Linked DNA regions of Cricetulus griseus. The protein of the gene in region 1 interacts with the protein of each later gene in a pairwise test. Links are inferred from orthologs where the notes say so. Each region holds a gene or a part of one and is shown in the gene's direction. Other genes may lie near its edges.

Region 1 (3,710 bases):
TAAAGGAGTCTGTCAGCATATCATAGGCAAACATTTATCCTTGGCTATTACTATACTATTTGAAATAGCTAAATGTGGAATCAACCTTGATGCTTATCAACAGATGAAAGAACACACACACACACACACACACACACACACACACACACACACACACACACAGGTTTCATTAAGTCAGAAAAAAGAGTGAAAAGAGTCATTTGTAGAAGATAGATGAAACTAGACACAGCATATTAAGAGATACAAACCAGTCTGGGTGTGGTGGTGCACACATTTAATTCCAGCAATTGGGAGGCAGAGACAGGTGGATCTCTGTGAATTTGGCACCAGTTTGGCCTACATAGCAAGTTAAAGACCTCCAACCATGGCAGTATAGTAAAACTATCTCAAAAAAACAAGTATCAAAAATCAACACAACAACAAAACACACACACACACACACACACACACACAGAGAGAGAGAGAGAGAGAGAGAGAGAGAGAGAGAGATACAAGCCAGATTCCCAAAGACAGATATACCTACTTTTATTATTATTTTTGTGTGTGGAATATAGTTATAAAACCATGACCATATAACATCAAAAGCATACTCAGTTATTTGAGGGATTAGTCAGAACCCAGTGGGACAATATAGACAGGTACACAAGAGGCTAATGGAAGATGAATTGTGAACAAAGAACATGATATTCAAGTATGTCAGTGTCACAATATAATGTGTTACTTTGTCTGCTAATTTAATTGTTAATATTGTTGTAAACTTTGCTTTGTTGTTCTGAACTGTGTGTGTGTGTGTGTGTGTGTGTGTGTGTGTGTGTGTGTGTGTGTGTGTGTGTGCACATGGGTGGCTATAAAAATAGATCACATATTGAAGTGCATTTCAGAGTTCAGATAAAAAAGATTGTCTGAAACCCAATAATCAGATAGAAGGTGCTCCAGTGACACAATCTGGATATAGATTAGCGAGAGGCACTTATACAACACAGAGAAAATCAGTATGCTCCTGTGAAAGAGAGAAACACCTGTGCATCTGGCTTATGTCTCATTATATGGTGATGTCTACTTTCATATTTCTTCCTACAAATGAATTCATGCTTCTTTATGGCTGAATAAACTATTATCTATATCCATTATCATATCCATATCAAGATCCATATTATCTCTATCTATATTCCTCTCTCCGTGTCTCTCTGTGTCTCTGTCTCTGTCTCTGTCTCTCTCTGTGTGTGTGTGTGTGTGTGTGTAGTTTTCTTCATCATATGTTGGTAGGTATCTAGGCTGATGCCACATCTTGGCTGATTATGACTAACTGGTATAACAATAAACTTGGTTGTGTATACCTATAATTAGAAGCAGGTATAAACCACAGGTACTGCATTGAAAAGTCTTAAACATCATAGACCAGAGTGGAGAGGCCTCAAGATAATTCAACATGAAATGATTATACTTTTCTCTATGAAGTTGCAAATCAATTTCCTTGCTCCTATTTCAGGAATTCCAGAACATACTGGATGCCCTACATTCCAGACTGACTACCAAGGTCCCCACTCTGGTAACCCAGGACCTCAGGCTGGCTACACAGTCTCAACAGCTGGCTGTGAAGGTTATAATGCAACACAGCTTCCTGTTCAAAATAACCAGGCTATCATCCTTGTTAATACCCAATGGATGCCAGCACCACCACCTCTTCAGAGCTGCCCACCTGGGCTAGAATACTTAAGTCAGGTAAATCCACATACTCAGAACTCACAAAAGACAAAACTGTGTTTCTACTTCTAGTTTACTTGGACAACAAATGAATAATTCACCGAAGTATAGCATTGTCCTCATGTCTTCTGGTTACTCATAGTAACTGGTTCCACTAGATGAAGTTCAGTTGTTGTGCAAATTACCAAGGTGTGAGACAATTGTGTTTTCCTGTGAGTCTGGCCTATAACCCCTAATAGGCAGTATTTACTATACATTATTCTAGTCATTGTTTCAAGTACAATCCTTAGAAAATCTGTGACATGTGCACAAGATTATCACTGGTTTTTCAAAGAGGGAAACCAGCGTCAAAAAATGCTAACTGCTTTGTGGAGGCTCTAAAACCACGGAACAGTCATTGTGACTTACTTTTTAACTGTGAACTTTGGTAATGAGTATAAAAGCTTTTTACCCCAAGGCTGACCCACAGCCTTGGTATTTGAAAAAAGAGAGTCTAAAAAAAATTAGTTATTGTCTTTAAAGGATACCTAAAAAAGAGCAAGTTTAAAATTTTTCTCTTTGTTTTTTTGATACGGGGGTTTCTTTGTGTAGCCCTGGCTGTCCTGGAACTCACCTTGTAGATCAGGCTGGCCTTGCACACAAGATCCACCTGACACTGCCTCCCAAGTACTAGGATTAAAGGTGTGCTCCACCACTGCTGGGAAAGAGTAATTTTTTTCATATATGTAGTTTTATAAACTGTAACTCCACTTTTATTCTTTAGAAAACCCAATATTATAATTGCCTCCAGTGAGGGAAGAAAGTCTGGCTTTTGCCGAACTATAGTTCAATGATAATGAATTTTAGCAAAAATGCAGTTTAATAATAGCTCAATATGAAAAGCTGGTGAGGTAAAAAGAGGGCTGTGAGGTACACCAAATTCATGAACACATCCAGAGGGCCCTGTGATATCTAAGCCATCTCTAGTCTGTCTGGCACACATAGCACTAACATGTCCTGTGTGTGTTCAAGCAACAGACTTAGAAATTTTCAGTCATTTTGAATGCTCAGCCGTAAGAGGACATTGTTATGAATTCTCACACACACACACACACACACACACACACACACACACACACACACCAAGACTTGGGGAAATTATAGAGAAGGAGGCAGAAAGAATGTAGAAGTAGAAGAATAAGGAAAGGTGCCATGGAATGCAATCTATTGGATGAGGTGTGACTGCTGAACTCAGGAATGCACAGCAGCTAAGGGGGGCTTCCTAACTGAGGAGCTCTGGACACTTGTTAGCTTCTGGGGAAGGAAGCTCATTCTTCTTTGTGGGTGTGAGCACTGGCAGTTTTCCCATGCTCTACTCTATACCTGCACACCTGTGTACAAATGGGCAGCACTAATTGGACTTAGTGGATTATTTAAATATAAGAGAAATTTCAGTGCTAATTGTAATCTTAAAAATACTCTGGAATATACATAATTTAATCATGGAAAATAAAATATGAAGGAAAATTATCACTTACAAGGGATAGCTTCCTATAAGAAAATTATTTGAATGGATAAATAAATTATCAATCAATCTCATTTTCTGGAAAGAACACTTTTTTGTAATTTTATGGGAATTCCATTACAAATCAACTTTATTTGACTTAAAAATTCTTACTTTTGAGATGAACAAAAGTTTAAATAAACAAACTAGTGCTTGGGAAATGGCCCAAGAATTAAGAGGTATTCCTGGTCTGGCAGAGGACCCAGGTTTGATTCCCAGCACCCACATGGCCACTTACAACCATCTTCAGCTCCAGTTTCACTGAGTCTGTCTCCCACATATGCCCTCCGAAAGTACTGGATGCAAGGGGTACACTTACATGCATTTAGGCTGCACATTCATACAGGTAAAAATAAGTCCATCTTTAAATAAATATTTGCCATTAATATATAAAAATGTGATGCTATACAAAATACAATGGGGAGTGTGAAATGTTGACCCTGCTAGGAATTGATAATAATTC
Region 2 (4,207 bases), on another chromosome or scaffold:
AGATCTTATTACAGATGGTCATGAGCCACCATGTGGTTGCTGGGAATTGAACTCAGGACCTCTGAAAGAGCAGCCAGTGCTCTTAACCTCTGAGCCACCTCTCCAACCTCACTGGGTACATTCTTATCTTGTAGCTTCATATTGTGGATGTAAGCTCTGTGAGCCTCCAGTCCTTGTCGGGAAGGTGGGGCCAGTATTACCTGCCTCTCAGAACTGGTATAAACATTAAATGAGCTGCTGTGCAGTCTGGCTTGCTATACATACTCCATAGATGCTTTCTTTATCCCCACTCCACCTTTACCTGCCTCTTGGCTCTTGATTGACAGTGCTTCACTGATGTTCCATTCCAGGTGATTTTTAAAATTAAGAACACATTGTTGTTCGTATGTAATAATACATTGTGGGTGTGTAACATGTTGGTTACATCCAAACAGTCGAGGTTGGCATTGTACAAGTTTCCCTCAAAATATCCCCTTGGTCTCCCTCTGTTAGACCACCACCCACCAAGAACCTTGTCCTGAGTCTGGAGAGACACCCCAGCTGTTGAGATAGCATAGTCCTCTTGAAAAGAAGCCTAAATCTGGCTAGGTGGTGGAGGCACACCCTTAAATCCCAGCACTTGGGAGGTAGAGGCAGGCAGATCTCAGTGAGTTTTAGGTCAGCCTGGTCTACAAAGTGAATTCCAGGAAAGCCAGGACTGTTACACAGAGAAACCCTGTCTTGGAAAACCATTAAAAAAAAAAAAAAAGTCTAATTCTGTTGTCAGCACCCATGCCCCAGGGCTCACACCCTCCTATAACTCCATCTCCAGGGAATCCTACACCTATAGTCTCTGTGGGATCTGCTCGCATGAGCTCATGCCCACGTGCACATAATTAAAAAGATTAAAAGGTAGATCTTTAAAACCCTTCATAAACATGTCCCCCGCGCAGTGTGTGGATGGTTTGATGACTGATTAGGTACACATGTGACACCTCGTTAGCCTACAGGTCATTTGGTTTCCTTTTACCTTTTCCCATCAGTGGCTGCCTTACAGTCAATTATTTCTCAGAGACTAAGATATGATCGCAATCTTTGCATAGTAGGACCACTTCCAGATGAATGGGGAAGGTTGACAACCTTCAGAGCTGGGAGAATCAGGGCTGCCGTCAGGGGGCGCCAGAGACCCTCGCCGCCACGGTGGGAGGAGCCCTATAAAAGCGTAAGGGGCTTTTCTCCAGGTGAATTCCAGGAGGCACCCGAGATCCTGGACCTAATCCAAGACTTTTTTCCCCTTCATTCTCTCTCCTCACCCCCGCCGTCAGACTCTGAGAGATGAGTATCCACGCTTCCACCTTCAGCCGGTGGCTTTGCCTTTCTGGGGATCAAGCTAACGCTCCCTGCAAGGGACCTATCTGGCTTCATGACTCCGTTATTACTGCCCCTTTCGATGCTATTACCCGAACCCAGGGCCTGGTCCACGCTTCTCAAGGATAGTTGTCAGACTTAAGCGTTTAATGACATCCGCTTGGGTCAAAGACTGGAGACAGGATCAAGTGTGGACCCGCACTGTCAACTTCAGAATCCCTGGGGACCTGGTCAGAAATGCCCATTCTCTCGGTCCTCCATTGTCAGTCTCTTGGGCAGGGAGGGGGCGTCCCTAGTGGGTGGCTGTGAGATGGCTGGAAGTGGACATCCAGTGGATGTGGAGGCGCAGCGCCGGAGTGCCGGAGATCTCCAGCTCCGGGTTCGCGGTCACGTGGGCTCTTCAGCTAACCACCCACCCCCTCTTCACCGTCTTTAAAAGGAAGACTCACTAACGCCGTTAGTCGCGGGTAATCTTTGCAGCCTCTCCAGCTGCTGGCCTTTTTGAAACCAACTCCCAGGTCCCTGTCTCTTGCTAGGCTTCTAGAACCACCCCTTGAAACTTCCCGGGAGTAGAGGGGGGCGGGCGAGGGGAGCCTGGCCGGGAGGGAGCTGCTTGTGCTGCGACTGGCATCCTTGGCACCCGGTCTGAGTAGAGTCTGGCAGTTCCAGCTGGGCTGAACGGCTGCTGTGAGTTCTGCGTGGGGACCAAGGAAAGCACGTGTCTGCTTTTAGAGAATGCCAGGTAAGTGCCCTTTGGCTCAGAGTGTGGTTTCATTGACTTTGTGTGGATTCCTGCAATGGGAAGCCAGCAATATTTAGAACAATAAAGGGGCAGAAGGATGGATGCAACTGCTTGGACACCACTGGAAACAGAAATTTTGCTGACTTTTGGGTTGGTTGTGTGAATATAACTGTTTTTTTTTTTTTTTTGGAAAAAAAAAAAGAAAATTCCCGTGGTTTTCTTCCGTGGATTCCTGGTGGTGGATGAAATGATGAAGCTTTTTGCCTGAGTATCGTGGACCAGGGAAGATGTGCCTATTTCAGGCCGGTGATCACGGCTTGGTCATGGTAGTCCTTAGTCATGTCAGAAATAGATTTATCTTTTCTTTCTGGGTAGTCTCAGATACGTTAAATCTGATCTCTCTTATTTGCTGGAGAGGAATCTAACTGTTGCTTCTTCACGATTACCTGTGATAACTGTTTCACAGTGGAAGCAGAAAATTGGGTCAAGTGAATATTGTTTTTGTGTGTGAGAAACAAAACTTTGAATTTGAGTGGAGCTCTGTTCAGAAAGGAAGCTTGTTGGTAATTCTTACGTTTTAGAAGGCAGGTGTGTTTTGCGCAGCAAGCAGCACTCCAGAGGAAGGAGTTTTGTTTTGTTCTATTTCAAGTGTTTCCACTTGAAGTTTTGTTTCTGCTGTAATGATTCCACTCATGGTGATATTTCCTCTCTTTCCCTGTAAATGTTATTTAAAAAGTGAATGGGAAGATTAGACGGCAGCTATATGGGGACAATGAAAAGAGTGTGATAAATGCTTAACTCACTTTCTTCTCCAAGAAAGCCTGTAGAGTGGCTCACACCCCATGACATACCTTTATCTCCAAAAATATTTACATTACGATTCATAACTGTAGCAAAATTGCAGTCACTAAGTAGCAACAAAAATAATTTTATGGTTGGGGTCCCCACAACATGAGGAACTATGTTACAGGGTCACAGCGTTAGGAAGGTTGAGAACCACTGCTCTAACAGACGTTCTGTCTGAACAAAGTAAAAGGTCACTAAGTGTTAAAGCAGAAACTTTAGCATTCCATTTTATGTTCGGTGGTTTTCTGGAGGAATCTGAAATTCTTATTTCAAAACCAGTGTTAAAAGGAACACTTTTAGTCTTGCTCAAGATATCTAAGTGTTTGAAATAAACAAAAAACACATGTAGGGCCATTTCAAGGAGGGTTTAGGAAGCCAAATGGTTCGAGTCAGAGTTGACATTCCTCAGAATGGATTTTTAATATACAAAGGTAAAACTCGGTACTCAGTTCAACCTATCAAATATATAATTTGCCTTTAATGGGCGTTATGCCCTTTGTGAAGACTAAGTCACTGTAATTCAACAGGCCATACCTTAAAATTTATTTCATGATAAAATTTTAGTTGATGTTTCTAGTCATTTTATGGAATATATTAGGAAATGATTACATAAAATTCTGAGGAGTAAACATCAATCACTTGCTGGTAATTTTTTGTTGATTGTATGCAAAGCCCTTGAAAACTGAATGCGTGGGTATTAGGTCTCATAATTCAGTGTTTAGTACATTGTGATAGACATTTGAAAAATTATGCTTATTGCAGTCTTGTTTACAGACAGTTGAATTTAAGCTTAAAAAAAATACCACCCTGAGGGTTATGATAGAGAGGGATTAGCTGTCTCTCATTTTGGAAGATACACATATAGTTTTAAAGAGTTTCATGTAAGTCAATTATTAGCGGTCAGTTTTATGGTTATTTTAGAGTAAGTTTCTTTGTTCCTAACTTAAAATTGATTGGGGACCTTACTATTTTGCTTTGGAAAAGATACATGTGAAGGTAGTAACTGCTAAACAGAAACAGCAAGAATGCTTGGTGCTAAAAAATGTGTACCTAATGGTCCAGGGATGTGGCTCAGTTGGCAGAGAGCTTGCCTGGCATGTGCACAGCCCTGGCCTCCATCCACAGCATTGCATGAATCAGGCATGGTGGTGCTTGCCTATAATCCTAGAACTCAGAATATAGAAGCAGGAAGACCAGGGAGTTTAGGCTGCATAACAATTTTCAGGCCAGCTTGGGCTACATGAGATTGTGTCTTAGAGGAAAAAAAAAGGA
Region 3 (4,414 bases), on another chromosome or scaffold:
TGAGTGCTCTATCTGCCTTTATGCCAGAAGAAAGAATCTGATCCCATTACAGATGATTGTGAGCCACCATTTGGTTGCTGGGAATTGGACTCAGTTCCTCTGGAAGAGCAGTCAGTGCTCTTAACCTCTGAGCCATCTCTCCTGCCCTTTGTTTTGTTTTTATTTTTGTTTGTTTGTTTGATTTTCTGTTGAGTTGGTTTTTGGTGGGTTTTTTGTTTGTTTGTTTGTTTGTTTGTTTTGAGGGGGGTTGAGACAGGGTTTCTCTGTGTAGCTTTGGAGCCTATCCTGGCCCTCGCTCCGGAGACCAGGCTGGCCTCGAACTCACAGAGATCCGCCTGCCTCTGCCTCCCCAGTGCTGGGATTCAAGGCGTGCGCCACCAACGCCCCGAGGTTTTTGTTTGTTTGTTTGTTTGTTTGTTTTTAATAAAGATTTGTGGGGCTGGAAAGATTGCTTAGAAGTACCCAGGTTCAGCTCCCAAGGCTCACAACCTTCTGTAACTGCAGTTCCAGGGGATCTGATGCCCTCTTCTGGCTTCTGTGGTACTGCACACATGAGGTGCACATACATACACGCAGGCATTCATGACCATAACTCCTTTTTAAATAGCATTTTCTTGTTCGTACGACTGTTTTGCTGTATTCTTTCCTGTGCCTTTTTTTTTTATGGTATTATACTTGGGCAGTGGTGGTGCACACCTTTAATTCAGGTATCTGAGGTAGACTTTATGTCTGCCTGTTGACTTTTTTCAGACAGGTCTCGCTGTGTTGGCCTTGGCTGGCCTAGAAATAGATCTGTCTTTGTCTCCTAAGCACTGGAATTAAAGGTGTGGAACATCACACTCTATGTGGCTGCCTTTTGACAACAGGGGGTACTTAGGAATTACTGTGAACTTCTTCAAGTTCAAATGTTATAGTCACATCCTAATTATTTTAACTGTAGATGAACAAGAGAACTGGGCAACCCATGATCCACATCTATCTGGATAAGGAGACAGGAAAGCCTAAAGGTGATGCAACAGTGTCCTATGAAGATCCACCAACTGCCAAGGCTGCTGTGGAATGGTTTGATGGTAGGATGTCCTCCCTGTCACTCTGAATTTTGCTCATGCAGGAACATTTAAGAAATTAGAACAGTTTGTGTGTCCCCTCTGAGAAAGTATGTGTTATATTGGATACTGTTAAAACACCATTCTTTGGGGCCACTGGGCGTTGGTGCTGCACGCCTCTAATCCCAGCACTCAGGAGGCAGAGGCAGGCGGATTTCTGTAAGTTTGAGGCCAGCCTGGTCTCCAGGGTGAGTGCCAGGATAGGCTCCAAAGCTACACAGAGAAACCCTGTCTTCAAAAAACAACATTCTCTGGAATGTAGAAACCGAAGGAATGTACTTAACCTTTTTCTGGACCACAATAGGGGAGGAGGAAGGAATTTGAGAGCTGAAACAATAAGATGATCCACTCCAGAAGGAAGTTACTCACTGTGTTCCCCTTCTACTGTTAAAGGACACAGACACTGGCCCTGGGTCAGGATATCCTGTTATGTGTGTTTTATTGCAAAGCTACCTTGTTCACGCTGCAAATACTCACCTAACGTGTATAGTCCCTGGGTTCAGTTTCTTAACATCATGAAAGAGAGAAGGACACAGAAAGGAAGATGTCTTTGCCAGTGTACATTTGAGTGTTTCCAAGACCCACATATGTAGCTATTGATGGCTTTGAGCTTCCTGATCTATTTCCTACATCTACTTCCAAATGTTGAGATTATAGGCATTGGCTAGCTGGCTACCATGCTCAGTCTTGTACATGTTTAAACAAGCCATACAAACTGTGATACTTCATCTCCAGTCATACCAGGAAAGAGCCTAGAGATTGTGAGGTTTTAATGCTTTGGTGGGTAGACAAGTTCAGTAAGATGGAATCTGTTGAAAAGTAGCTCCTTGGAGAGGGAAGAGTTAAAATGTAAGGATCACTGATGTTCTGTTACCTTTTCTAGGAAAAGATTTTCAAGGAAGCAAACTTAAAGTTTCTCTTGCCCGAAAGAAGCCTCCAATGAACAGCATGCGGGGTGGCATGCCACCTCGAGAGGGCAGAGGGATGCCACCACCACTTCGTGGAGGTATATACATTGGGCACTTTCTTTTAGCTACTTTTGTGTTACTTTAAACAGTTTTGGTTTGGGTTTTTTTGTTTTTTGTTTTTCAGTGATTTTTGCCCTTGAGAAACTTAGTAGAACAGTAAAATAAGAAAAGGGTGTGTAAAATTGATACTAGACCATTGAGCCAGCATTGTATGTTTGTACAATATGGGTTAATTGGTAGAGCTCCAGGGAACCTCTGACTGGCTGTCAGTTTCATTATATGAAAATGCCATAGTTGGAAGCTACATGAAATTGCACAGAAAGAATAGCATTCATGGACAGCACTCTGGGCCTGTGGAAGAGTTTCCTGTAGCAAATTTGCTATGAAGAGGTGATTGACTGTTTATTGTTGCAGGTCCTGGTGGCCCAGGTGGTCCTGGAGGACCCATGGGACGCATGGGAGGCCGTGGAGGAGACAGAGGAGGCTTCCCCCCACGGGGACCCCGAGGCTCCCGAGGGAACCCCTCTGGAGGAGGAAATGTCCAGCACCGAGCTGGAGACTGGCAGTGTCCCAATCCGTATGTACTTCTCCCTGCAGATTGATAGCCTGCTAGTGGTGTCACCCTATTCCCACTCTGGGACAGGACTGTTATGGGTAGAGGTTTGGTTGAGTACTCAGGTTGCTTCTGGGAGTGCTTTGCTGCCTGAGACTTACTTCAGACCCTAGTGTTTTGTGCCTGGACTCCCATGATTGTGCATAGAATATGGTGTGAATCTTTCTACCCCCCTTAGTTCTATTGGTGATTTCTGTTGTGATGCAACTTTATGCAGGGGCTGTGGAAACCAGAACTTCGCCTGGAGAACAGAATGCAACCAGTGTAAGGCCCCTAAGCCTGAGGGCTTCCTCCCGCCACCCTTCCCACCTCCGGGTAGGTATAGGTTTCTTGGAGCGTCTCAGCTTCCTGGTGATTGAGTAGTGTCTGCTCTAGGAGAAGGATTAGCAGATCCACCACAGTGTGTCCTCAGAGCCTCAGCCTCTACTCCTCTGACTCACCTACCACTCTTCCTTCCTACCTTAGGTGGTGATCGAGGCCGAGGTGGCCCTGGTGGCATGCGGGGAGGAAGAGGTGGGCTTATGGACCGTGGTGGTCCTGGAGGAATGTTCCGAGGTGGCCGAGGTGGAGACAGAGGTGGCTTCCGAGGTGGCCGTGGAATGGACCGAGGTGGCTTTGGTGGAGGAAGACGAGGTGGTCCTGGGGGCCCTCCTGGACCATTGATGGAACAGATGGGAGGAAGAAGAGGCGGACGTGGAGGACCTGGGAAAATGGATAAGTATGTGGTGGGGAGCGCTGCCTCTCCCCAGCCTCTGCTGGAGCACTGGGGGCTCTGGTAGGGCTCTGTGTCCCTTCCTTGTTCTAACCAAAGTGTCTCTTTGACTTGCAGAGGCGAGCACCGTCAGGAACGTAGAGACCGGCCCTACTAGACAGACCCGCAGAGCTGCATTGACGACCAGATTTATTTTTTAAACCAGAAAATGTTTTAAATTTATAATTCCATATTTATAATGTTGGCCACAACATTATGATTATTCCTTGTCTGTACTTTAGTATTTTCACCATTTGTGAAGAAACATTAAAACAAGTTAAATGGTAGTGTGCTGAGTTTTTTTTTTCCTTTTAAAGATGGTTGTTTTAAGACTTAACAATGGGAACCCCTTGTGAGCATGCTCAGTATCATTGTGGAGAACCAAGAGGGCCTCTAATTGTAACAATGTTCATGGTTGTGATTTTTTTTTTTAAATAAAATTCCAAATGTTTATAAACTCTCATCTTTCTCGGCCTCTATTCTGCAGTCTCGTGTTCGGTTCTTTCCAGCCCTTATTGGATGGGTGCAGGGACTTGGGGGTGCTCTTGGAGAGGTAAGCTGCTGGAAACCTGTGCTCTCATCCACTGGCTCCTCCAGAGTGAGCTGGAACTGTTAGGCTTTGCTGCCTAACATTTGCTCCCCTACTTCTGGAAGACTGAGCCAGCCACCAGGCCTTCAGTCATTCCAGCTCCACCTGTCTAAACCCACAGGATCATCCTGTGTCTTCACTGAGACAATTGCCATGTCCCCTGCAGCGCCAACAGATCATTCTTAGTTCCTTTTCTGCCCTCTTGACTTTCCTGGTGCTCCTCTACCCAGCAGACCTCCCACTGTGTTTTGTCTTTAGGATTTTTGAAGTTTCTCTGTGTAGTCCCAGCTGTCTTGGAACTCACTCTATAGACCAGGCTGGCCTCTAACTAAAAAGAGCTGCCTGCCTCTGCTTCCCAAATGCTGAGATTAAAGACCTGAGCCACCA
Region 4 (3,190 bases), on another chromosome or scaffold:
GCATATTCTGTATGAGAAGTCAATATGAAAATGATGGTTAAGTTACTGAGTATTTAGGGGTATCTGCTTTTTTTCTGTCTTCCTTCCACCCCTGGGGGATGTGTTCTATATACAACAGAACCAGGCTTCCTAAGAGCTTACAAGGGAAGATGAATCTGATTCATAATCGTTTACCCGAGTCAAACACCATTTCCAACCAGAATAAACCTATTCTCAAAATCAAATTCATGTCATTCTTCGTGCTAATGCTTAATCAGCAGATCTGTAGGTGGATATTAGAATGAATAAGGTATTTTCTATTTGTAACCCATTACTTCTCTTCAGGGGTCTAGTGAAAATTATGTGAACTTATGTGATGTGAACTTATCTCTATGATCAGTTTTGTTTCAAGGCCAGCTGTAAAGTTCTTAAGTCTCCACGACCTTGGGCAAAGTCACTTCATTTCCAGCCTCTGTGAAACCTAGTAACCATCTCTTGAAGAGGAAGGGACATTACATGCTTGGATGCACCCCCAGTAAATGTTTGTGATAATGTTTCATGTACCATGAAACTAACTTCTGAACTTAGAAGACTGAGGACAAATTGGGGGCCGGATTTCCTTGACCGCAGCTGCCCACACAGCTGTAGAGAAGATACACGGTTTCCTGATTTCACTATGCGGAAGAGGAAGGTCCATATTCCAACATCGCTCAACAGACTTAAGATGGAAAATTCAAATACCCCCACCCCCCAAGCGTTGCCAGGGTGTGAGCATTGCCCACCTTTACCTCTGCCTCAAATCCTGCGTCATAAGACCCCTTGCGAATGTTCATGTGATAATTGTTCTGGCAGGAACCCCTTCTCCTCACATAAAGCAGCATGTCCACCCCAATTGGCTGTCGTCCTGGGCAACCAAAGACGCAGTGGGCACGCGGGGTTGGGGGAGGGGGACCAGCCTGTATTTAAAGGCTGCCACTGCCCAGGCCCCATTCAGTCCGGCCAGGACGGCGACGGTGAAGCACCTGGGTTGAGAGGGAGGAGCAAGGTAACAGGCCACCCTGCCTCTCCCGTCCCCAGCCTTAGCCTCAGCTGAGGCGGGTGTGTGTGGGATCCGGGAGTGGCTCTCACAGCTCATCGCCCACCAACACCTTCCTCCCCCACCATCCTTACCCCACCCAAACCACCTGGGCAAGACAACCCAGGTGCGAAAGACAGTGATTCTGAAAGAAGAGCTAGCAAGTGGAGAAGAAAGAGGGGGATCCTTGTGAAGACAGAAGACAAGGTCACAGGCACGAGCACGTGGTCCTCGGGACTCCAACTAAGGAGGCTTTTCTGATTGGGCATCAGATCTGGCCAAAGTGAGGACTCGTAGGACACTACCACTAAGATCTCGTGAAGATCCCTGAGCCATGACCCAGACGGTCAACGAAAGGGAGGATCCCCTCAATCTGGGCGGCGGCGGCTGGGCATCCTCCATCCCTTTGCGCACCTGGTCCTCCTACCATCGAAGGCAGAGGGGCTCTCAGATGTCCAAGCGGCGATACCGCAATGGCCCCAAAGCTGAGTATGAGGCTACCAGGAAACAACCCAAGCAACAGCACAGCCCTGGCCCTTGGTTCCAACCACCCAGACGGCCCTACTGGGCCGTGTACTCCAACTGGGGGCGCTGCGGAGGGCACTGGCACCCACCCCTGATGGCTTTCCAGAGCCCCTTGTGCCCAGCGCAGATGATCCGGGCCTATGGTCTGCTCCCACTCTGCCTTTGCTGCTGCTGCTCCTGCTGGTGCTGGCCCTGCAACCCCGGTTGGGAAAGACCCCAGGGCAGAAAGAAGCGCTGGGGCCGCAGGGGCCGTGGCCTGCGCCGCCAGCCTCGTGGCTCCTTCCCGAGGAACCCACCTATAGACCTGAGCAAGCTGCTGCGGCCGGTCAACCTTTACGGGTGGCGGGCGCCTGGGATGCGAGCGCCAAGGAACACCACCCAGTTCATCATGAACCAGGTCTATGAAGACATGAGGCAGCAAGAGAAGCTGGAGCGCCAGCAGGCGGCGTTGAGAGCACAGCAAGCCCAGGTGGGCGGCACCACCCCGGGAGGCTCCACTGCCAATGAGACGCCTCACAGCGGCGTCGAGGAAGACTCGCAGTTGCCGGAAGATCTGTATGGCTTCATGCAGGATCCCTCTCTAATCTTAAGTCCTGCTCCAGTGCAGCAAATCCAGTCTCCCACCCCGCAGCGGGTAGAGGAGGAGGAGGAAAAAATTGATGATTGTGACGAGGTTTGTGATGAAAAGGAGGAGAGTGAGGAGGAGGAATATAGAGAGACAGAGGATGAAGATGTGGATGAGGAAGAAGTCGAAGAGGCTGACAATGGGGAAGAAGGAGAAGAGAACCAAGAGGAGGAGGAGATGTTGGAAGAGGAGGGGCTGCAGGAGGGAGAGCAGAGAGAGGAAGACAAATTCTTGCCTCTGGGAATGCCTTTGTCAGTCCTAGTAGGGGACGAAGAAGAGAGAGAGAACTTTATAAACTATGACTATTTAAGCCCAGAACAAATAATTCCCAATGTGCCAGAGGCAGATCTGTTTATGGTACCGGACATTAGCCATTAGTCATCAAGAAGGGAACTGAGAAATGAAATAGAACTGATTTGAATTAACAACTTATTAAATACAAATTCCAAAGTGAGTTCCATTAATAAACATCAATGTAAACACCTCCGTTGGCCACTATAAAATATTTAAACATTGGTGTGTTTGTGTATGACTATGGGTGGGGGCAGGAAAGATTTCAGATATATTTTACTGGAAATGATTAAAGACCAAATATTTTATTACTACAGTTTGAATATTTTTATTTGCTGTCTCCATTTTCAGACAATTGAGACTTGGTAGTTCAAAGTTTTTGCAATAACAAGAAAACATTTAAATTTACACAGCTTAATGAGCTTGGAATAAACAGTTTTTTATTGTCACGTGTTTAAGAAGCATGCATGGTAGTCACTGAATACTTACCAGTGCTCATGTCACCGAGGGCACTTTGAACAGTATTTTTCAGCAGCTGTAGATTTTCCACCTTCAGAGTTCATTTTTGAGGGCTGTATTTTGGTAACCCAGTTTGCAGTCTGTTGTGGCATTGCTCATTTATATTCCTTGTTCCACAGTGCTATGGATCTTCCTCAGAAGAACATGAAGTTGCTTCTGTGGAACTGGTTATCTGC
Region 5 (4,461 bases), on another chromosome or scaffold:
TGGCTCTGCTTCAGAGAAAATGGGCCATCCAAAGCCCACCTTTGCAGCCCTTTTGGGGGGACCAGCATTGAGCAGGGATGGGACAGAGGAGCTGCCTTGAAACCAGGTGCCATTCCCTCAAGAATCACCCCGCCCCAGAGAGAGTGTGACAGTAGCTTTCTGGAATTCAGGAAGATTGGAGTTGGTTTGGTGGCAGACTTCACAAGAGCCCAATGTCCCCACAAGTATAATAGCAAGTTACTTGTTCTTTCTGTCCCTCTTTTGTTCAGGGGGTACTTTCCAGGAGCTATTGCTTGCCCGCCCATCCTTTCTTGTCCTAAACACGCTATCCAATCAGGAAGGAGCTGTGCCTGCAGGTGTATGTGTTAGAGCAACGATTGATGATGGCAGCCCCACCTGCCTGCACGTGGACCCCTCGGCGCAGGGCCAACAATGGCAAAGTACCTGCCTTCCAGGCTCCTTCTGACTCTCTGTTCTTTGGGCTCCTGAAATGCAAATGACTAAAGGCTTATTTGCAAGTCAAAAGTGGCCAAGGAAAGACGTGTACACCAGGTGGGAGCTAGATAGTAAAGAATCTCGATCCCTAAGGGGGTAGGGAGAATACTGGGTGGTTCTTAGGAAAAACCTGGCTGATCCAGGGTCGCCAACTGAAAAGACTCCAATATACAGTGAGGAAAAAATACTGCAATCCAGGTTTGCAAGCAACACGTTTACTTAAGCATACTAAGCAATGCACACATAGACAATGTTGGACAGACACCTGGAAGCAGGCGCCTAATAGTGATGGGGGGGTGTAAATAAAAAAGAGGACTCTCAATTTTTATTTTTTGAATGTTACCCAATCATATATGTATGACATGACCTTTTTCTAAAAACAAACGAACAACAAAGCCAAAATTAACCCCAAACACTATTTCTAGAATAGTTTTAGATTTATAGAAAAGATTAGGAAGATAAGACATGGAGTTACCATAAACATGGGTTTTGTCCTGTCATTAACATGCTGGTGTTTTTGCTATAATGAAAGGACCAATATCTATGCATTATTATTAAAATCTATAGTTTTCAAATGTCATTGGTTTATTTTTTAACCTAAATGTCCTTTTCCCAGGATCCCATTGGAAATGTCACATTATTCAGTTTTCATATCTCGATGTGACATCTTCTCAGGCTTCCCTTGTTTTGATGACCTTGACAGTTTTGGACAGTTGTTGAGTTCCTCAATTGGGGGGTTGTCTGATGTTTCTGCACGATTACACTGGATCATGTGTCACTGAGAGGAAGACACCGCATGGCAGAAGGTCAATATAATTCGTCACTGCTGATGGTGGCCCTGGTCACCCGGCTGAGCCAGTTGGTAAATTTTTCCGTTATGAAGTTTCCTACTGCCGTACACGTGGTGTGACTTTTTAAAGTTTTCTTCACAGTCAGATCTCTAAAAACATACAGTCGGGTGAAAGTCTCTAGGGGTCTAGAGCGGCTCTACGCTGCGAGCAGGCACCAGGCTTCCTAGGCAGACACGCAGGAACGCGGACCTCACCTGTGGGCGTGGTCCCACGCACTCCGCCCCTCTAGAGAGGCCCCACCCCTCCCACGTGGCTCCGCCCCGGGGCGCTTAAGGCGACCACGCCTGGAGAGTTTTCCGCCCCGCGGGCTCCTCCGTGGTACGTAGACACTCGCGGGTTGAGATCCGGGAAAGCGTCAGTGGGAAGGAGCTGCAAGTCAACCTCAGCGCCCGGGTCCCCGGTGCCAGGTGAGTGGGGGTCCCCGTGGGCGGCCTGCCGGTGCTGGGTGTTCGCGCTCGGCGGGGGGTGCGAGGGTCCCCCGAGGCCAGGACTCGGTGTTGAGCAGGGTCTGAGCTGGTGAGCCTGGGACCTCAGCGGGTGAGAGCTTGGGGGTTGGTTCAGGTCTTCCCAACTCCGTGCGCTTCCGGGAGAAGCTTGAGCCGAACCCTGCCGACCGAGAAGGCTGTCTTTGAGAACTTTGCTCCGGAACTGCAGGGCGCGGGTTCCTGGACCTGCCACCCAGGGTTTATATAAGGCAGGGTTCCCAAGTGGTTCAGAGAATGCTGGATCGTGCCAAGTGTAGTGTTGCGTTGCCTGCCTTTCTTAACGCGTATCCAGCCAGGATCCCTTCGCCCCTGCCTACGCGCCGGTTCCGAGGAACTCTTGGGCTTGGCTCCCCCACTTCCCGTGGGCTCAGGCCGGACTCCTAAAGACCTAACTAGGTAGGAAATAGATCTGGGGGGGCGGATAGCTCTAAGCTCAAGCTGGGGATTTCTCTCACCGCCCGATGATCAGTGGGTGTCTCTGAAGATTGTGTTTCTGGGACCCTCTAGTGTCAGCCCAAATCGTCTGCTCCCTTTCTAGGCCTTGTCCTGCCGGCACAAGAGGGATTTTTGAGCAGGAGTACCCCGGGGCTACATTGAAAAAAGCTACGAATACAGCCCTACACAAAATCAGTAAATTTAAAATTATGAGTTTTTTTTTTTTTTTTTTTCTGGTGGGGTAGTGTAACTCAATTGAGCTGTTCTCAAGTGTAAACACTTTGTAGATGACTGTGTGTCATTGTCAAAAGGTTGGGCATGTCTGGAGCCTCGTAGGACAGGGCCTGCTGTCTTGCTCACCCTCAGCTTGCTTTCATTATGCTCCTTCATTATTTCTTTGCTTCAGTCAGTTACTGAGAATTCCAGGAGGATTAACAACTAGGCCATTCCCTCAATGCTTGTCTATGCTTAGTGTTCTCTAACCAGGCAAGCCAGGTGAGTGAGGGCAGTCTGTTGCTCTAACACAGAGTGCCTACTTTGGATGCAACCATTCCTCCCTGACCCATCATTAATCTCTGGACCTTGATTTCCTCATCCATACAATAAGGATAACTATAATTCCTATTTCATAGGCTTAGTGTGAGGATTCAACCAGTTAATTTTTTGTTGTTGATTTTTTGTTTTTTGAAACACGGTCTCCCTCGGTAGCCCTGGCTGGTTTGGAACTCATAGAGATCTTGCCTCTGCCTCCTGAGTGCTGGGAGTAAAGGTGTGTGCTAACTGGCCCAGAAAGTTAATGTTTAAAAAATTATTATTATTATTATTATTATTATTATTATTATTATTATTATTATGTTTTCTGAGACAGGGTTTCTCTGTGTAGCCCTGGCTGTCCTGCAACTCACTCTGTTGACTAGGCTGGCTTCAAACTGAGTGATCCCCAGCCTTTGCCTCTCAAGATTAAAGGCTTGTACTACCACCGCCCATCTGACTATTTATATTATTTTTAATTGAGTTTCTGTGTGTTCAGATGCCCTGGAGATGGAGTTATAGGTAGTTATGAGCTGCCTGTCTCTGAACTCTGGTCCTCTGCATGAGCAGTATGCTCTTTTCCAAAGAGACATCTCTAGCCCTATGAATTACTCTATTTTTACAATTTTCTGTTGTTTTTGTGTAGCCCTGGCTGTTCTCGAACTCAGTCTATAGACCAGGCTAGCCTCAAATGCAAAGTTCTGCTTGCCTCTGCCTCCTGAGTACTGGAATCAAAGGTGTGGGCCACTTCACCCAGCTTACTTTTACAATTTTTTAAGTATATTGTATTTTGCGTGTATGCGTGTTTTTGCCTGCATGTATGTATGTGTACTATGTGGGTACCTAGTGCCCTTGGTGTCCCTAGAGGCCAGAAGAGGGCATTGGATACCCTTGAACTAGTGTGCAGACAGTTAAGAGCTGCCATGTGGGTGCAACATGTGCTCTTAAGTGCCAAGCCATTACGACAGCCCCTTGAGGGTTATTTGGGTTTTTTTGGGGGGGGTTATCTGTCTATCCATCCAACCATCTGTCTGTCTCTCAATCATCTATTTTTAGGGATAGGGTCTCTATATGTAGTTCTGACTGTCCTGGAACTTGCTGTGTAGATTGGGCCAGCCTGGAACTCAGGGATACACCTGCCTCTGCCTCTTGAGTGCTGGGATTAGAGGCGTGTACTAAGTTACATTTTTTAACAGCTCCACAATGCTCAGGTACTGACCAGTTAGAACAGGTAGCAACTGGTGCATCACAGTGGGATGGATGATGCTTGGATTAGGTTACCAAGGTAAGGCCTGGCTTGTGAGTGATCAAGTGCAGCTGCTAGTGGATTGCAATGGTAGCAAGAGCCGAGGGTGCAGCCGGTTTGAACTGCTCTGTCTTAGCACACACCGCTCCACCCGCTTCCCTCCATTTTGCTCGTTTCTTATTCACAAATCATTTGGACCACTTCTGCTCCCCGGTAGGAGGGATAAGACATGCCCTCTTGCTCTGCCTTGTCATTGGTCCAGTTCTCTTGTATGACCAGGTGTCTGGTCCTTGTGACATCTCAGTCTTTGGAGCACAGAGACTATTTCTGAATCATCTTAGTCTTTCAAACTGCCCATGGTGAGCCTTTCTTTTAAAGTGTACAGGAAATGTCAGCTGGATGAGAGGCAGGCAACGTC
Region 6 (4,487 bases), on another chromosome or scaffold:
CATAAACTCCACAAGAGAGCTGGGGTTTTATTTTTCAGTTTATCTGATTTTGTTATTCCCTTTGAACACACCTGTTCCATTCAATAAGTAATTGCTATGCTGTCTCTAGTGGTACAGGCCTATAACCCCAGGTATTCCTGAAAGTGAGTGGGGTGTATAAAGGCATCCCTGAGCTACAAGGTTAGTTAAAGGCCACCCTAAACAACTTAATAATGTTCCCCCTTTCTTTCTGGAGATAGAGATGTCGATATATAGATATAAATAGATATATATGTATGTAATATATAATCTCGTGGGTAATATAAGCACATAGGTGATGCTAGGACTCAGGGGCGGGGACATGACAGGAATCATTCTCAGTTATATAGCAGGTTCAAAGCAAGCCAGGGCTACATGAGACCCTGCCTCAACAAAATGGGCATTATATGTCTAGGGCACAACAAGCAGTTTATTGCTTCAAAGTCTGGCAAAGGTGCACATGCAGCCCTGTGTTTAGTCAGATTTCAATTGCTCGGATAAAACACCTTGACCAAAAACAACTTGGGCAGGAAGTTTATAGCTAATAGTCCATCATGGAGAGAAGTCAGGACAGGAATTTAACGCAGAAACCTGGGGACAGAGCTGAAGCAGAGGCCATGGAGGAAAGCTGTGTACCGGTTTACTCCCCTTCGGTTTGCTCAGCTTGCTTATTATTTTATACAACCTGCCTAGCGGTAGCACCACCCACACAGGTCGGGTCCTCCACGTCATTGATCAAGAAAATACCCACAGACTTCCCTACAGGCCACCGGACGGAGACCTTTACCAGTTGAGGTTCCTCTTCCCAGATTAACTTCAGTTGACAGAAAACTGATCAAGATACCTTCTAAACCAAACCCTGTGTAATAGATTAGAGTGGGTAAACTGACGACATATCGGCAGTATTACGAAACTCCGGGAAGTGCCGAATATCTGGTACCGGACCTGTCCTCCAGAGCCTGTGCACGCACAAGTGCCGGTGCCAAGCAGAAAAAAGGCTGAAGGGGGTTGTTTCCGCCCCTCCCCGAGCGAGGGACTCCGGTTAACGTGGGACTGAAGTAGGCGGTGGCTCTCCTCCTCTAACTCTCACCCCAGCTTTGCCTCAACTCTCGGAGGTTCCCCGAGCCGGCCTCAGACCTCCCTGGGCGCGCTCCCGAACCCTGGGATTACACCGTGAGCGCGCGCCCGCGAGCTCCCTGCAGCCCCGTGCTCATCCGGGTCTCCGCGAGCCTCAGCCAATGGAAGCAGCTCCCGGCCCCCCAGCTGGACTCCGCCTCCTCCCCCTCCCCCGCGGCCTGTGGCCCCGGGCGAGCGTCCCGGGGATGAGGAGCCACCGGAGGCGGCGAGCGCGGACCCCACACGAGAACTGCGGTCCCGAGTGCCGAGCAGCCTCCACTGGTCCGGAAACACCCGGCGCCGCCGCTCACCCCGGGGTCTGGGCCAACGTAGTAAACACACTTCAGAAACGTGAGGTGCCGGTGGTCACGTGGGGCGCGTGCGGCCCAATGAGAAGCCGGGGGCGGGGCGGAGGCCGCTGACGCGGCGGAGTCACCCGGGCAGCCTCGGGACCGGGGACCGGCCGGCCGGCGAGAGTCCAGCGGCCTGGAGCGCCAGCCCGCGCGATCCGAGCTCCCTGCCCGCTCCGGGGCGCACAGGCCGCGTCGCGCGGAGGCCGCGGGAGCTCGTGTCGCTGCGTGGAGGCCGCTTGGGACGCGCCACCGTCTCCTCGCCGGCCGCCTCGCCAGGGCGAGGTTTCCGTGACGAGCCTCCCGGGGCTGCTGCGGCCAGCTCGGGCCGTCGTGGCGGCTCGAGCCCCGCGCGCTTGCTCCCGCCCCGGGGGTCGCAGGCCCCGGAAGGTATGCGTGTCCTCCGGACGCTGGCCGCGGGCGCGGGCTCCTGAAGGACGTCGCCCGTGGACCTCAGCGCCTCGGCAGCCTCCATTCATCTGCCAGCTGCGCGCCCGCCGCCTCCGCGCCCGGCCTCGGCGTCGCCTACTCCCGTCCCCTCTCTGCCGTCCTTTCCCCACTCCTCGCGTGCGGAGGTTCTCCTGGAAGCGCAGGTGTCGGTTATGAGCCCGGCCTCCCTCCCTTGAAACTCTCGGTAGAGGAAGTCGGGGTGACCCGTCGCGCCCCGGGCATGGGGGTGAACGCCGTGCACTGGTTCCGAAAGGGACTCCGGCTCCACGACAACCCCGCCCTGAAGGAGTGCATCCAGGGCGCCGACACCATCCGCTGCGTCTACATCCTCGACCCCTGGTTCGCTGGCTCTTCCAATGTGGGCATCAACAGGTGGCGGTGAGTCCAAAGCACTTGGGGAATTGATCGCGGGGTACACGAATGGGTGTTGATGAGTTAGTGGCAGATCTGAGATTTGGTTTTAGTTCAGGGATCGAATTGTTCACACCGTTTAAGAATTGTAGATGTGGTCTATATTAAATGCTGTAGACTTAATAGTATGGTACTGAGCACCTGGAACACCTTGGTCTTCATCCTAAGTTATGTGTCTGTGTGATGGAAACTCTTTCCCCGATTTGTGAGATATAAAAAGTAGGGGAAGTAAACACTCCCAGGCCTTGATTCCTTTGGCCCTTGAAAGGGTTGTAATCTTTACTGTTGACGTGTGTGTCTAGGTAACTCATAATGTGGAGAAAAACCATTCATTTATTACAGCCGGTTCCAGATCGAGCTTTCTTCCCCCTTGAGGTTAGAGGAGGAAAAGCAAGGGAAAGAATTACCTGATTTCTCTTTGCTTAGCTCTATCTCACTCTCAACTCCTCCTTGTGGTTGACAAGATAAAGCACAGTTTTTCTTTCGAGGCAAAATATAATCCTTCTAGGGAATCCACCCTGGAAGAAACCCTCAGGATGTTTTTTGAGCTGTTGCTGAAAAAGCAGGATAGATGATTGTGCGGCTGAATGAAATGAAAGCATTAGTTCGGTAGATGTATTGGTAGCTATGTGCCAGGCATAGCTTTGAATGTGAGGGATAGAGCAGTGAACAAAGTCTGTCCTCTTCAGCATATGTCTGAGAAAGGAAAATATATATGTAGTCTTTTAGGTGACAAGAAGTAATGCAGAGAAAACACGAGGTAACAGGAATGGGGATGGGGGCACACTTTAAAATACTGTTAGTTACCTGGGGCTATAACTCACTGGAAGAGTACACCTGCTGTGTATGAAGTTCAATCCTCAGAACCATGGGGGAAAAAAAAAAAAAAAAACAAAAAAAAACGTTGTCTGTTGTAGAAATAGTGGAGAACGTCATAGCAGATTTGGAAGAAGTGATGGGATGCAGCTATGTAAGAGAAGAGCGTTCCAGGACCTTTGGAAGGAAAACCCAGCCAGAATGACTGGAGCAGAATGAGTGGGGAAAGTGATAGCTAATGAGGTGGGAGTTGTAATGGGGCCACATGAATAGAGCTTTATAAGCAGTTACTAAGGTCTGTGATTTGACTCAGAGCAAAGTGGAAATGATTATAGGATTATGAGCAGAGAAGTGACATAATCTGACTTAAGTTACAAAAATTTTTCTTTGTGATTCCGGGAACACGCTAAATGGTGGAATGAAGACAGACAAGAATTGAGAAGACCACTTAGGAGACTCGTACTTATCCCAGTGCAAGATGAAAATGGCTTGCACAGAATGTTCTGGCAAGTTGGTTATGGTGTTGAGCACAACAAAAGGAACTATATTACCATAGTCAGAAGATGAAAATGACCCAGATATCCATCAGCTGATTACTCTTTGTAATGTGGTATATCCTTGTAACTGTTACTTGTCCATAAAGGAATGAAATATTGATAAATGCTGTAAGATGTGTGGGTGAACCATGAAAACATGCTAGGTGAAAGAAACTGGTCATGAAATTTCATATATTATATGGCTGTGCTTATATGAAGTATCCACAGTGGGCAAATACACAGGGACAGAGAGCAGTTTAGTTGTGACTTAGTCCTGGGGAAACTGCAAAGTTGGGAGGGTCTAGCTATGGGCACAGCGGGAAGTTATGGCTTCATACCTCTGTAAATAGCCTTTAAGCTGTGAACTTTAAAAAGTCTGCTTATCTCTCTAAGACTCAGCCCAAATGTTGCTTTTTCTGTGTTACCTTCATCATCTGGTCTAGGATGATGCAGTCTTCTGAACTCCTACACTGTGCTTGGTATTGCTTCTTACACATTCTTAGGAATGTATAGTTTCTTTTTTTTTTTTTGTTAATGAATATTTGGTATCATTAGCTGATTTGGGCTGCTGTAACAGGACAGGTTAGATTGGGTAATTTACAAATAAAAGACTAGAGGCTGAGAAGTTCAAGATGAAAGCACCAGTAGATTTGCTATCTAGCAGGGACGAGTATACTTCATAGATGGCATGTTCTACATGTTCTTACATTGTGGAGGAAATGAAAAGGCTCTCACAGGTCTGATGATGGGAATCACCAAACTCATGACAGTAGAGTTCTCCTAACTTGAT
Region 7 (4,237 bases), on another chromosome or scaffold:
CCATAATTTGGGAAGGAATGGGAGATGGACATCACCGGACACCACCAGACACTAGGATGGGATGGATGGTTTTGGGGGGATGGAATGGAGGAAATAAGTCTTACTGTCTGTTCTCCTGGGGTCCCCCCCCTCCAACTTTTGCTGCCTCCTCCTGAGCCAGGATTGTCCAGTGACTAAAGTGTAAATAATGATGTACTGGCGGTAGGAGAGCTGCAAGTGTGCCCTCCTGTCCCTTCTCCCCCTGCCTGGATTATTTAAAAAGCCATGTGTGGAAACCTATTTAATAAATAATGAAGTCACAAGTGAATGGCCATTTATAGAGGTAGGCATTAGTGGAGCACCTACTGTATGCTGAGTTTAGGAGATGCCTGGAGAAAAATCTCTATTGAAGAAAACCCCAATGAGACAGTGGGCCAGTCTGACAGTTTTTGTTTTTAGATGGGGTCTTTTGAAGCTCAAGCTAGCCTCAAACTTGGAGTGGTGGGATTTACTGGCACAAACATAAATCCCAGGCTCCAACTGGAATCTTTCTAGCACTTTCTGTGTAGCTCTTTAAACCTTAATTTTGTCTGCCTTCCATGCTCCTCCTCCCATCTACCTCAACTCACCTCCCTTGGTGTTCTCTAATTCTGACGTCAATTGTCCTGAACCCTGCCCATCATTTCCTCTGTTATGGTGACTAGCCCTCCCTACTGAAGTTAGATGGGGCATTCTCTGAGTCTAGCCATAGCCCTATGTCTCACTTGTCCCGCCTTCTCGAAAGTCCGGTTCCTCCCAGTTGGCCTTCGGCCCTTAGAGGGCGGGACCTGGCTGGGAGATGGGAATGGAACTGAGTTTCTCATGTGAGAAGGGTGGTGCCATCCGAAGGTTCCAATAAAAAGCCGAGATGGCGGAGCAACATAACCAATGAAACCACCGGATGGTTTGGGCTGGTGGTGTGGACAGTCGGGGTCGGTGAGGCCGGCAGGGAGGTGTGGGCCGGGTCTGCTGCCACGTTGTGCCAGCAGAGAAGTGTAAGGACTGTGGCGCTCTTGGTCTCTCAGGTTTTGGTGAAATTTGGGAAGCTCGAAACCACCATTTTAGAATCGGGGTTGGAAAAAAAATCGGGTTTGGAACGGGCTAAGAACACCCACCTCCCCGTCCCAGCTAATGCTCCGCCCACCACTCCGGAGGCCCGGAAGCGGACGTGATGGATACGGAAGTAGCCTGCTGTTGCCGAGGGGACGGAACGGGCAGATGCCAACATGGCAGCGGTTGGGGTTGGCGGATCTGCCGCGGCGGCCGGGCCAGGGGCCGTATCCGCTGGCGCGCTGGAGCCTGGGTCCGCTACAGCGGGTGAGATGACCTGAGGCAGAGCAATTGGCTGGGCGGAGATGGGGATCCTTGGGGGTGGAACGATCCTTAGTTGGAGTGACAGCGGCGTCTCGTATGAACGGACGTTGTGTTTGAGTGTGTATGAGAGTGGGAAGAAGGGGAGAGAACGGACCATTGTCCATTGCGGGCAGGAATCGGTCGTTTTGTGGGTGCTTGTGGCGGGGGTCCTGGACTTGCAAATAAAGACCGTTGTGAATGTGTAGGGGATTTCCTTTTGAGGCGGCTGACCGTTGAGAACGTTCTGGGGGTGTGGGTAGTCTTTAATCGTGGAAGGGAAAGCCAATTCTGGGGTGGGAGTTTTTCCTTATAGAAGGGAGAGGCGATTCTTAGGGTGGTGGCTTCTTCCTTATAAAGGCACCTTATAAATTGTCAGGGTGGGGCATATCCTTGTATGACTAGTGGATCCATTTTGAGCCTCACGCTGCCCTTCATTCCATGGAGAGATTGTCCTGGGGATGTCCCAGCCAAATGGAGATAGTTCTATTTATGCTAAGGTGGGAAGGTTCCTTCCTTATAGGTCAGGGAAAAAACATTCTGAGGGTGCCAAGTCCTTCTATATAGCAGACAGAGCTCATTGTGAGTGTGGGTAGAACAAAGAATTATTCTTTGGCTGGGAGGAGGGTTACAGCAGAAGAAGGATGGACTATATGGTGTAGGGAAGTATTTCCTTATGTGATTAAGATAGACTACTGAGTAACCATTAGATGAGATGAGAAAATAGAACAATCCTTAGGAGGTGGACATCTTAGACAATTGTCCCATTCGTTATATTGAAGTATTATTTCTTTTATGGGACACTCCTTCAAGTAGAAACCTCACTTCATATAAATCCTCAATTTGCTCATCCACAATATGGGATTTTTCACAGTACCTTCAGAGACCAAATAATGGGAATCCATGTAAATCCCTTAGTGCAGTGATAGGCAGTAGCATTCAATACACATGGGGAATGCTGTCAGAGAAAGACTTGCTTCCCAGAGGAGGGAGAGGAAGTGAATATGTATGTCCAGGGCCTGCTCAGGTTGTTTCCTCACACCTTACCAAGGATTTCAGATTAAGAGCTGGTCAGAATGGGGCCCGCTTTTCCCTGTCTGACACTTTTGCCAGTAACTGAGGGTGTGGAAACTGGTAGGGAATCAGATTCTTGTTTAGTCAAGATGGGCAGGCAGAGGAAGTTCCAGTGACTGGGAGGTTTTTGAGAAAAGAGGGGTGAGATGGGTGGCTGTACCCCAACAGCTTCTGACCCCATCCTTCTGTGTTCATTCCACTCCCTACAGCTCACCGGCGCCTCAAGTACATATCCTTAGCTGTGCTGGTGGTCCAGAACGCCTCCCTCATCCTTAGCATCCGATATGCTCGTACACTGCCTGGTGATCGCTTCTTTGCCACCACCGCTGTGGTCATGGCTGAAGTGCTTAAAGGTGTCACCTGTCTCCTGCTGCTCTTCGCCCAGAAGAGGGGTATGAGTCAGGGAAGGGGTTGGTTGGTCTGACCCCCTTCGTGTAAGCACACCTGGGAGGTTTTTTTTTGGGGGGGGAGTGTATACTGGTGTGTCTGAAATTGCTTGGAGACTAGTGGCTTCCCTGCCACTCCAGCTGTGTAAAGTTTCATCGCCGCTTGTATAGCCCTTCCACCTTGGAAACTGTAGTAGTGAGATGGTCTGCCCACCAGGCAACAGAACACTCATGGGGATTCAAAAATTTAATGTTACCTTATGGAAGCCAAGTGTGGAGGTACATGCCTATAGTAACAGCACTTGGAAGGTGGAGGCAGGAAGATCAAGATAACATAGGAAGTTCAAGGCTAGCCTGGGCTACATGTGACTCAGTCTAGAAAGGAAAGAAACTTTGTAATATAAAGAACTCCATCACACACACACACACACACACACAGAGAGAGAGAGAGAGAGAGAGAGAGAGAGAGAGAGAGAGAATAGTAAAATGGTTCACAATTCTCAACCCTTGGCTACTTGTCATAAAGTAGCATCACTGGCTAGCTGCTCACTGCTAATTTATATATCTTTTACATGGCTGCACCATTATAGGACCAGCTGGCTGGAGTGTCATGCAATTGTAACTACACCTGGTCAGCATACTAAGGCAGAGCATCAGTTAATTCCATGACTTCAAGGCTAGTTTGAGCAACATTTAATGCTCCAATGACTCAAAACAAGAAAAAAACAAGCAATAAGTAAATACCTACAGATGGGGGTGTGGCTTAGTTGATAGAGTGCTTGCCTAGAATATATAAAGCTCTGGGTTTGATATCAAGCACCTTATAAACCAGTGTGACAAATGCCTATAATCTGAGGCAGAAGGATCAGCAGTTCAAGGTCATCTTTGACCACATAGTGAGTTCAGGGACAGCTTGAACTATCTGAAGTTCTATCTAAAAAAAGGAAGCATAATAAAATCATACATGATAAAATAACAATAAAACTGGGTAATTCAGCATGTAGGAGGCAGGAGGGTCATAAATTCTAGGTCTTCTTGGGCTGAAGAAAGATCCTATCTCAAAACAAAACAAATAAATAAACAAAAACCCCAAACCCCCAATGAACAAAAGAACAAAGCCAGACCTGATGATGCAGGCCTGTAATCTCAGCTACTTGAGAAGCTGGGGCAGAAAGATCCTAAGTTCAACACCAACCTGGTCAACTTGCTAAGACCCAGCCTCAAAATAAAACATAGGATTAACAAGATAGCTCAGCAGGTAAAAGCTCTTGCCATGCAAGCCTGATAGCCTGAGCTCTATCCCCTGGACCCACGATGGAAAGAAGGAACTGGTTTAGCCTCTAAGTTGTCCTTGGACCTCTGCACTTGGCACGGTGGAGTGTGTATGCCCACACTCACACACATGCATC

Evidence for each region.
Region 2: the proteins of phospholipid scramblase 2-like (region 1) and Esr2 interact in binary tests that used the Homo sapiens proteins (3 or more experiments, as listed by UniProt). The link is inferred for Cricetulus griseus from reciprocal best matches to the Homo sapiens genes PLSCR1 and ESR2.
Region 3: the proteins of phospholipid scramblase 2-like (region 1) and Ewsr1 interact in binary tests that used the Homo sapiens proteins (3 or more experiments, as listed by UniProt). The two-hybrid records come from large-scale screens. The link is inferred for Cricetulus griseus from reciprocal best matches to the Homo sapiens genes PLSCR1 and EWSR1.
Region 4: the proteins of phospholipid scramblase 2-like (region 1) and Ccer1 interact in a two-hybrid assay, tested with the Homo sapiens proteins (2 studies listed by BioGRID and IntAct). The two-hybrid records come from large-scale screens. The link is inferred for Cricetulus griseus from reciprocal best matches to the Homo sapiens genes PLSCR1 and CCER1.
Region 5: the proteins of phospholipid scramblase 2-like (region 1) and Anxa11 interact in a two-hybrid assay, tested with the Homo sapiens proteins (2 studies listed by BioGRID and IntAct). The two-hybrid records come from large-scale screens. The link is inferred for Cricetulus griseus from reciprocal best matches to the Homo sapiens genes PLSCR1 and ANXA11.
Region 6: the proteins of phospholipid scramblase 2-like (region 1) and Cry1 interact in a two-hybrid assay, tested with the Homo sapiens proteins (2 studies listed by BioGRID and IntAct). The link is inferred for Cricetulus griseus from reciprocal best matches to the Homo sapiens genes PLSCR1 and CRY1.
Region 7: the proteins of phospholipid scramblase 2-like (region 1) and Slc35a2 interact in a two-hybrid assay, tested with the Homo sapiens proteins (2 studies listed by BioGRID and IntAct). The two-hybrid records come from large-scale screens. The link is inferred for Cricetulus griseus from reciprocal best matches to the Homo sapiens genes PLSCR1 and SLC35A2.

The regions. Positions count from the first base shown.
Region 1 is NC_048597.1:201,287,165-201,290,874, forward strand, and holds part of phospholipid scramblase 2-like, read left to right. Parts: intron 1-1,489; coding exon 1,490-1,722; intron 1,723-3,710. UniProt on the Homo sapiens protein: Catalyzes calcium-induced ATP-independent rapid bidirectional and non-specific movement of phospholipids (lipid scrambling or lipid flip-flop) between the inner and outer leaflet of the plasma membrane resulting in collapse of the phospholipid asymmetry which leads to phosphatidylserine externalization on the cell surface.
Region 2 is NC_048598.1:127,302,423-127,306,629, forward strand, and holds the start of Esr2 (estrogen receptor beta), read left to right. Parts: upstream 1-1,206; 5' UTR 1,207-1,814; exon of another isoform or gene 1,815-2,010; 5' UTR 2,011-2,089; intron 2,090-4,207.
Region 3 is NW_023276807.1:99,823,613-99,828,026, forward strand, and holds the end of Ewsr1 (RNA-binding protein EWS), read left to right. Parts: intron 1-940; coding exon 941-1,070; intron 1,071-1,989; coding exon 1,990-2,112; intron 2,113-2,488; coding exon 2,489-2,651; intron 2,652-2,904; coding exon 2,905-3,002; intron 3,003-3,152; coding exon 3,153-3,405; intron 3,406-3,516; coding exon 3,517-3,556; 3' UTR 3,557-3,901; downstream 3,902-4,414. UniProt on the Homo sapiens protein: Binds to ssRNA containing the consensus sequence 5'-AGGUAA-3'. Might normally function as a transcriptional repressor. EWS-fusion-proteins (EFPS) may play a role in the tumorigenic process.
Region 4 is NW_023276806.1:163,522,408-163,525,597, forward strand, and holds Ccer1 (coiled-coil domain-containing glutamate-rich protein 1), read left to right. Parts: upstream 1-1,388; coding exon 1,389-2,582; downstream 2,583-3,190. UniProt on the Homo sapiens protein: Regulator of histone epigenetic modifications and chromatin compaction into the sperm head, required for histone-to-protamine (HTP) transition.
Region 5 is NW_023276807.1:193,979,266-193,983,726, reverse strand, and holds the start of Anxa11 (annexin A11), read left to right. Parts: upstream 1-1,599; 5' UTR 1,600-1,753; intron 1,754-2,078; exon of another isoform or gene 2,079-2,227; intron 2,228-4,461. UniProt on the Homo sapiens protein: Binds specifically to calcyclin in a calcium-dependent manner. Required for midbody formation and completion of the terminal phase of cytokinesis.
Region 6 is NW_023276806.1:150,258,555-150,263,041, forward strand, and holds the start of Cry1 (cryptochrome-1), read left to right. Parts: upstream 1-1,590; 5' UTR 1,591-2,154; coding exon 2,155-2,312; intron 2,313-4,487.
Region 7 is NC_048604.1:114,346,447-114,350,683, forward strand, and holds the start of Slc35a2 (UDP-galactose translocator), read left to right. Parts: upstream 1-1,235; 5' UTR 1,236-1,244; coding exon 1,245-1,335; intron 1,336-2,651; coding exon 2,652-2,834; intron 2,835-4,237. UniProt on the Homo sapiens protein: Transports uridine diphosphate galactose (UDP-galactose) from the cytosol into the Golgi apparatus, functioning as an antiporter that exchanges UDP-galactose for UMP.